2 linked regions of the Danio rerio genome follow. Each later gene encodes a partner of the first gene's protein in a complex. Links are inferred from orthologs where the notes say so. Each region holds a gene or a part of one and is shown on either strand. Other genes may lie near its edges. The genes, in order: fuz and cplane2.

What was found.
Region 2: the proteins of fuz (region 1) and cplane2 are in contact, whole or in part, in a cryo-EM structure (PDB 7Q3E), measured with the Mus musculus proteins. The link is inferred for Danio rerio from reciprocal best matches to the Homo sapiens genes FUZ and CPLANE2. Residues at the interface, in NP_081652.2 of Mus musculus: Arg26, Arg35, Ile109, Val110, Lys126, Glu127, Arg129, Ala130, Tyr132, Cys133, Asp136, Gln215, Ala216, Ala217, Arg218, Asp219, Tyr220, Pro221, Tyr223, Pro232, Leu238, Thr239, Leu240, Leu241, Arg242, Pro255, Leu256, Gly257, Gln258, Pro261; in NP_001074643.1 of Mus musculus: Glu36, Gly38, Leu39, Leu40, Glu41, Arg42, Val83, His84, His85, Glu86, Thr88, Gly89, Ile90, Gln91, Thr92, Thr93, Val94, Lys124, Phe125, Met128, Glu134.

Annotation. Positions count from the first base shown.
Region 1 is NC_133177.1:3,682,012-3,686,334, forward strand, and holds the start of fuz (protein fuzzy homolog), read left to right. Parts: upstream 1-1,510; 5' UTR 1,511-1,591; intron 1,592-4,323. UniProt on the Homo sapiens protein: Probable planar cell polarity effector involved in cilium biogenesis. May regulate protein and membrane transport to the cilium.
Region 2 is NC_133181.1:44,001,307-44,005,642, forward strand, and holds the start of cplane2 (ciliogenesis and planar polarity effector 2), read left to right. Parts: upstream 1-1,358; 5' UTR 1,359-1,428; coding exon 1,429-1,534; intron 1,535-1,662; coding exon 1,663-1,815; exon of another isoform or gene 1,816-1,908; intron 1,909-4,336. UniProt on the Homo sapiens protein: Required for efficient primary cilia initiation, regulating a late step in cilia initiation. Plays a role in the final maturation of the mother centriole and ciliary vesicle that allows extension of the ciliary axoneme.

The sequences.
Region 1 (4,323 bases):
CTATCCCTTTATATAATTCAAACATTACCAATAACAACATAAAGACACAAAGAAAGAAACTTGGCATATATATAAGCCTCATGAACCATAGACCATTTTGAGAGATGTAAACAAAAACGAATGTCCCAATGTAGTTAAATTTTTAGCTTCTGAGAATCCAAAAAGAGCCACATATTGGTAAATAATATTATGATAGCTGTTTTAACATTAAGTTATGATTAAATTGCCTCTTGTTGCAGTTATATGAAATGGTTTGATAATAAGCAATGTTCATGGGCCAATGACATGACCACGTTGAAATGGTCTGCAGACAGTTCACTCAAATTTCTTAATTCTGCAATCATTTACTCATACACTTGTTCTAAACTCGTACAAATTTCTTCTGTCAAGAACAAAGGAATATACTGAAGAAATTTGGAAGCTTGGAAATTTCATGGACTGTTTTCAATTGGAGAAATGAACTCAAACTGATTTAAACCCCTTGAGTTCGAGTAAACAGTGAGTACATTTTCGGTAATGGGTGAACTATCTCTTTAAATGATCCGAAACATTACCAATAATAACATAAAGACACAAAGAATGCAACTCGGCCTGAACCATAGACCATTTTGAGAGATGTAAACAAACAATGGTCCCAATTAATGTATTTTCTGTTTTACATTTTAACTTAGCTTCTGAGAATCCAAGAGCCACATATTGGTTATGATGGCTGTTTTAACATTATAATTAAATTGCCTCTTGACCAATGACATGACCACATTGAAATGGTCTGCAGAGACAGTTCACCCAAATGTCTTAATTCTGTAATCATTTACTCAATGTCCTAGTGAAAAAAACAGCTTAAACCAGCCCAGGCTGGTTGGCTGGTTATAGCTGGTCGACCAGGCTGGTTTTAGAGGGGTTTTGGCCATTTCCAGGTTGGTTTCCAGCCATTTCCAACCTGGTCTTAGCTGGTCAGGCTGAGAGATGACCAGCTTGACCAGCCTAGCCAGGCTAGGAGCCCAGTTAAAACCAGCTATATTCAGCTTAAACCAGGCTGGTCAAGTTGGTTTTAGCTGGATTTAGCTGGTCATTTTCCAGCCTGACCAGCTAAAACCAGGCTGGAAATGGCCAAAATCCCTTTAAAACCAGCCAACCAGCCTAGGCTGGTTTAAGCTGAATTTTTCAGCAGGGTCACTTGATCTAAACTGGTTTGATTTCTTCTGTTCAGAACAAATGATTAGAAAGCTGGGATGAAAATTGCACGGACTGTGTTCAACATGACAGAAGCACAAATGGATTTGAAACCACTTGAGGTTGAGGAAACATGACTACACTTTTTATTATTGGGCGAACTATCCCTTTAATAAATTGAAACATTACCAATAATAACATAAAAAACACAAAAAAACTTGCCATAAAACCAAGAAAAATACTAACATGAATGAAGTTTTTTCTCCTTGCACACACTTGAAGTCTCCGGAAGATGGCGGAGTGGATCTTATTGTTACCCAAAAACTTTCATCGAGTTGCGAAGAAGAAGGAAGCGCTGTGGCTGTTGTTGTCAGAGATGTTGCTGTGGAGACGCTACATTTGCAACTTTATAATTCAGGTGAGACAAGACACAAATGTTTTTATTATTATGTTATTATGTTATTATTTCCTACTCAACGTATTTTAGCGAACGCTTATTAAATTTACACGATAAAATGCCTCAGTGTGGATTAGCAGATTAGTTTTGTATAACGTTTTGCATAATGAAGCATGCCAAATGTAATTCTGAATCGTGTGTTGTGTTTGCTCGTCCATTTTGCATGAAGACCAGATTTTCCCGTTTGGGTGAGGTGATTTTCTTTAAAGACTGACGTAAAGTTGGTTTTGAGCAATTCCAGCGTTATGGATGTGACATTTGCAGTAAAAACTCAACCCATAAATTGACAGAGAAAGTATATGTTAACATTTTATTGAAAAATTTGATTATATTTTCTAGAGCAACTAGCCACAAAGTTATGGGAGCAGAAAAATATCAATCTGTAAACGTGTTTTGTACTTTAAATGTGGAAAATAAGCATGCCTTATGGATGTGACAAAAAAAAGTCTGCGAGTTTACAGTATACAACACACTTTGTAGAAATTATGTGAATTAAACTGCACAACCCAAAAGAAATAATGCTAATCAAAAGGATTTGAGTCGGCTCTCTATAAAACAAAAATGATTGGTTTTATTTTATTTAATATTTTCACATTTCTGATGAAAAAGTGTTGTTATGGATGTGACATCTCTCTGTTATGGATGTGACGCATGTGAAATTACCATTTGTGTGACTTTGGTAAATCAAATAGTAATAGTTTGAAAACATTAACAGATGCTTTTTGAGTATTTTTAAAGTACTGTAAAATACTTGCCTACACAAAAAAACAGAAATGGTTTTCCGTATTTTGGTAAAAACTTAATTTTTTTTTCATGGCAAGGTTGACATTTGCACGGAATTGCTCTTTTACATTCACAAATTCGCTCAGTGACAACTTTTGACGTGCTCCTAATGTTTTCCATGGTACTTTGAATACTCGGTCTGACATAATATGCAAGTATGACTTCAAAACAACATTAGCAATATTTATTTAACTGTGAATTCACTATTGTAAGTTACTTTGTCTCTTGGTCATTGGCTGCTAATGATTTTTCAAGAGTAGTTTATAAAGTTATATTATCAAGGAGAAAGTCCAAATATGTGAATATAAATCCAACTTTGCCTTGACTTAAGTTTTAGTTAAAGGGATAGTTCACCACAGAGTTACATTTTACTCACTTTTTACCCTTCCTCAAATGGCTTTTTAAACCAGTTGATACCAGAAGTTTACATACACTGTATAAAAAGGCACTTTAGTCAGATGTCAATGTGAGTAATCTTTTTCTCTTTTCGTAAGTTAGGTTTATCATATTTGTTTCTGTTCTGCTTAATAGCAGAATTATAAGAGATATTTTTTGAGAAACTTTTTTTGAAAGTCAAGATTATATAAAATACGATTATTATGCCTCTAAAAAAGCTTAAAGGATGGTGTAAAGGTTTTTGGAGTTTCTGATTGGCTAGCTGACAACATTTGAGTTAATTGGAGGCACAACTGTAGAAACTGTAAACTTTTGACTGTCTAGAACAGGTGTGGGCAAACAGGATCCTGGAGGGCCAGTGTCCTGCATAGTTTAGCTCCAACCCTATTCAAACAGACCTCCCTGTAGAGTTCAAGTGATCTTGAAGACACTGATGAGTTTGTTCAGGTGTGTTTGACTAGTGTTGGAACAAAACTCTGCAGGGACACCGGCCCTCAAGGACCAAGTTTGCCCATCCCTGGTCTAGAAATTATAAAAAAAAATTCTTTACAAATTTTCTCTCATTATTCTGGCATTTAGCAAATGTAAATCATGTAGGTAATCCTAACGGACCTAAAATAGTAAACGTTTAGTATGATTTACCATCAGACATTGTTTTTTTAAATGGTTATGTTACTTTTTTTTTAAAGTGTAAGTAAACTTCTGGTTTCACCTGTAAATGTGAAATCATCAACAAAAACTTGAACCCCTTCTATGTTTACAAAAAAATCCGGAACGTCTTTGCCTGTGTGAACAGCGCTTTTTAGAATTTACCGGTAAAGTCGTTCTGGTAATTTTCCGGATATTTACCACTATCGCTGTGTGAAAGGGGCTAGGGACTTGCCTAATTACCCTAAGTTGCCCTTAACCTAGTTAAGCCTTTAAGCTGAATTAGAGCTGCACGATTCTGGATAAAATAAGAATCGCGATTTTTTTTGCTTAAAATAAAGATCACCATTTTCTCACGATTCTGTAGATGTAAAATAAAGGAATGGTAAAAACAGACATATGGCACAACATCGCTAATAATATTATGTGTAGGTCTACTGGTGTCTATAAATAATTCTATTCTACTTATAATAATTCTGACGTTGAATTATTATGTTTGAGATATATGCTTGCAATCTGTCATATTAGACTATTTAATTCACTGGTAAAATCAGACATTTGCCATCATCAGATTATATTCAGCAATATATAAGCTAGAGTAGTTATACTGACATTGTAAACATTTATTTTCATGCACAACTGTGTGTTCGCTATGAAAGAAAACACATCAAATGCTTGTCGTAATCATAACTCTAAAATGCGATGTGATCATTTAAATGAAGTGCACACTTTCGGTTTCATTCTGACTGCTAAGTGCTTGTTCATACTTTGCGCGCGGCTCCCAAACGATCAATCTGTGCCACAAACTGAATATTATTTACAACTGTATTACCTGTTACTCACAACATATGCAGGTTCTGTTCATT
Region 2 (4,336 bases), on another chromosome or scaffold:
GGCTATATTTTTGGTTGAGTTCTACACTTCTACGGAGGATCTCTCTCTATCTCTCTCTTTTTTAAGTTTGTATGTCCAATTAAAGTCATTCTCTTTATGTTAGTAGGTCTGTCGAAAATGCTATGTGCCATTTTTTGGGGTCTCACTTTTGGTTTTGTATATATGATGCTGTACATTGCATTCTGAGCCATTGCTGCATGCCTGTGGGATCCACCTTCTCCAAAAGCTTTTTTGTTTTTCTTTGTCGATTAGCTGGTGGATTCATTCTTGCGTTTGCCTTATCAAAGCCAACAGTTGTAATATGCAAGAGCTGTGGCCTCTCAATAAAGATAACATGATGTACTAATACACCTGTACATTTAATTTCATGGTCTGGTTTCATCTTAGTTTGCTAGTATGTCCTTACCTATTTTAAATACCGAATAAGAAGAAAATGTAGGGTGAGAATTCCTTTTTGTCTGCTTAGAATTGATCGGATTGTGATTTATATAGAGCACAACATTTGGAGTTACTCATATTTTTATCAATAACACTTAAGCCTTTAAATACAGATGGTTTTGAGGTTGTTGTGTGTGCTTTAGTTGAACCCATCTGTTTTTATCAGTTCAAGTACTATAGTTCAAGCACTATTATTTGGATAATAGTGGAATTTAGGCCAAAAACTACATTACCCATAACATTCAACAAATTTAAATTTCTTCAGCAATCGAAGTGCACCAAAATAGATCTTTAATTCTTCCCACCCACCATGCAGCACTGCTTATTCTACAATACAAGTTTTTACAAATAATTACAAATATATTGTTTCTATTCAGTCAACAATTTTATACTAACTGGAAGTTTTATGTCGAATATTTTGTTTCATTCACAATGCTTCATAGGATTGTAGTTCTTTCCCTCAGAAAAGAAGACTATTGATTTGCATATAAGCAACTTCTTTGTTAATCAGAATTTGTAATGTCTTGACCAGGGGAAATGGGCTGGATAAAATGGCAAAGATAAAAGACATGGGAAAGAACTACATTGTGAATGACAAAGCAGAATAAAAACAAGTTGCTGGTTTTATGTATAAAAAAGTCCTTTTTGCGTTCATTTAAAATATAAACACATATTTGCCATTGAAAAAAAGAGGTGTCATCTCTAGTTGGAAAGAAAATATGAACGAATTAATTACATAATATGATAAATCCTAAAATATTCTATAATAATAAATGTCCATTTTGACTCATCTTTAACATGTTTGCTAGTTCAGCTTCAGTTCAGTTTATCAGTAGTTTTACACGATTTTAGGCGTTTAATAACGGACTTTTATTTTGACGTATTACATTTTGATGTTCAAATCAGATGGCTTCACGTTCGCGAATAGAAAGTTACTTGATATCACACAATACAGTGCACAATATCTTTCTGCACTTGTGTTAAATTAAAATGTCTGTCCCACCTGGATCCATTATCGTGTCAGACTGGCACCGCTGTCCTGATAGCAGAGAGTTTTTCAGCAAAATACTGCACAAGAAGAGACGGCGAAAGTTTGGTAAGGATGATGACCATGGATACAGCACTAATGTAACTTAATAGGCATCACTTATAGTTTGTTCGCTTTTTTGCTGTAGTCAACATAAAAATAAATTATTATTTCGGTTTTGTTAAAATAACGTGAAGGGCTCTTAGAGGCGCCAATGATGCCTCCTCAGATGAATGTGGACCTCGTTCGCTACAAGGTGTTTCTCTCAGGTAAAACTGGAGTGGGGAAGAGCGCGCTTGCTGCCCGTCTCGCTGGACTCGACCTGCCCAAAATGCACTACGAGACCACAGGTAAGCAAACCAACACAAATCAGACTCATAATCACGTTTCTTCTTATTTTTTAAATTATTGTTTTCACCTCGGACATTTGCAGGGAAATTAAGGTATTATTAATATTTATTTAGACCTATTTATGTTTTTATTGATGACACCTTTGAGGCAACGGTTGCTAAGGGGATTTTGGTTAGCTATTTTTGCCACTCCATAATAGAGAAAATACCAAATAACAGAAGCCAGAAATACTATACATTTACAAATTTATTTGTGGAACAGAATGTTAATCATATTATCCGGAAAATTAATTATGTATTAGCATATCCCTCTTTAAAAACATTCAGAATGCAGATGTAAATGCTGCTGAAGTGGAAATTTATGGCTCAGTGTAGCAGAAAAAAAATACAAATTAAGAGAACGATTTGTAAAAAGTATTTAATTTAAAGCAAACACAAACTGATCAAATCCTATGAAATAAACGCTTTCTTTTCTTTTACATTAGACTGAACAAAAATGGTGTTAAACCCCAAAATTGTGTTACTGGGATTGTGTGCAGCCATATCAAAACACTCTTAATTGTTGAACAAATAAAAAAAAATCTATGACAAACATGCTTAATAATAACATCCAGTATTTTTTCAACAATGATATTGATAACGTCAAGCTTTCAAGATATCATCCCATCCGAGAGCTAACTTTCTGCAACTCGCACATGGTTGCTCACTAATGGCTTGTTTCCACTGACTGGTACAGTACGGTACGGTTCGGGTCAGTACGGGTCACCTTATCAGGCTTGCGTTTCCACTACCAAGGGTACCCTTTTGGTGGGCGTGCTGAATGACAAAGTTTCAGTCGACGTCATTTTCGCTTGAGAAAATGTCTACAATAAAGCTTTAGGGGTCGCTCGCATATCATATGAAAAGCACTTCTCACAATGCTTTACACATAAATATTTGTGTATAAATGTTTATTACTAACTTCTCTATGAACATGAGTTGATTATAACTGCAGATCAATGACACTGCGAAATAGTCTACTGCAACGTCTGTAATTATATTAAAAAAATAAACAAATGAACATATATGAACACATACAGCCCCTTACAGTCCCCGATATGTTACCAACTACAGAAAAAGTACACACAGCATACAATTCGTCCTTAATTAGGTTCAAAACAAAACAAAGTATAGCCTACAGTCAGTGAAAACCTCTCATCTGTGTCTGTAATCTTCAGCAGCTCATGCAGCCTCTGTTAGAGAGTCATTCCATCATTCCCAGTTCGTATTAGTCCAAAAGGTGATGATAAAAAATAAAACAAGGCAGTTTGTTCACGTTGGCTAAAGAAATAACGTGTTACTTTGCTTCCCCTTTTTTTCCGCCCTCCACTCTCGCGTTTGTCCTTTTCTTTCTGAATGTGTCATTCTCAAGTTTGTCAGCTTCTCACAAGATCGGGTTTCCAAAGCTTGTCAATAATCAAGCGCACGTTATTATCATCAGCTCAAGAAGTTTGTTATTTCAGATATAGATGCGTGGCAAGCGCAAGCAAGAAAGCGAAACCGCTCATGCTACAGACTGGCTCGTAAAAAACTATGCGGCACAGGGTAGATTCTGCTCTACTCCATGGGTTTGTGGCTGTTCATCAAGACGACGACAAGGTTTGTTTAAGCCCGGATCGACCATGGCTAGTTATTATATGTATATATAAATCTCTCACTGTGTATTTCAAACATGGACTTTGTTTACATTCTGGCTTTTTGTTGCGTAAACGAATGACATAATCAGCTGCGCGCCTAGCTCCGCCTTTTGGTACCCTTTCTTGTGTTTGGGACCCTTTCGAAAAGGTGCTGAAAAAGTGGTACGGTACGGTTTGGTTAGGTATGCCTTTTGACAGTGGAAACGGCCATAAAAGCGTACCAAACCGAACCATACCGTACTGTACCACTCAGAGGAAACAGGCCTTAAAGCTAAGCAGGGCTGCACCTGGTCAGGACCTGGATGGGAAACCACATGTGAAAGCTAGGTTGCTGCTAGAAATGGTGTTAGTGAGAACAGCAGGGGGCGCTCAACCAGTGTGTGGGTCCTAATGCCCCAGTATGTTGATTGGGGCTTTATACCGCTCAGTGAGTGATGTCTTTTCAGATGAGATATTAAACCGAGGTACTGACTCCCTGTGTCCTTTGAAAAAGGGTTTTTAAAAGTTTCAAATTTGCCCACTGCCTCCTAACCATCCCCATATCATAATTGGCTTTATTACTCTGTCCCCTCTCCTCATGGTGTGTGGGAGCATTCTGGTGCATTGTAGTTGCTGTTGTGTCATTCAGGTGAATGCTGCACACTGGTGGTGGATGAGGTGATTCCCACCAAAAATGTGTAAAGCACTTTGAGTGTTCAGAAAAGCGCTATATAAATGTAAGGAATTATTATTATTAATTTACAATACGTGGTGATAAACATAATTAAACATTAGCTGTAATTAATTTCCACCCATTTTATTGGCAGTCTTGCTTCTGGAAACATTTTTTTCTGAGTATTTCTTTC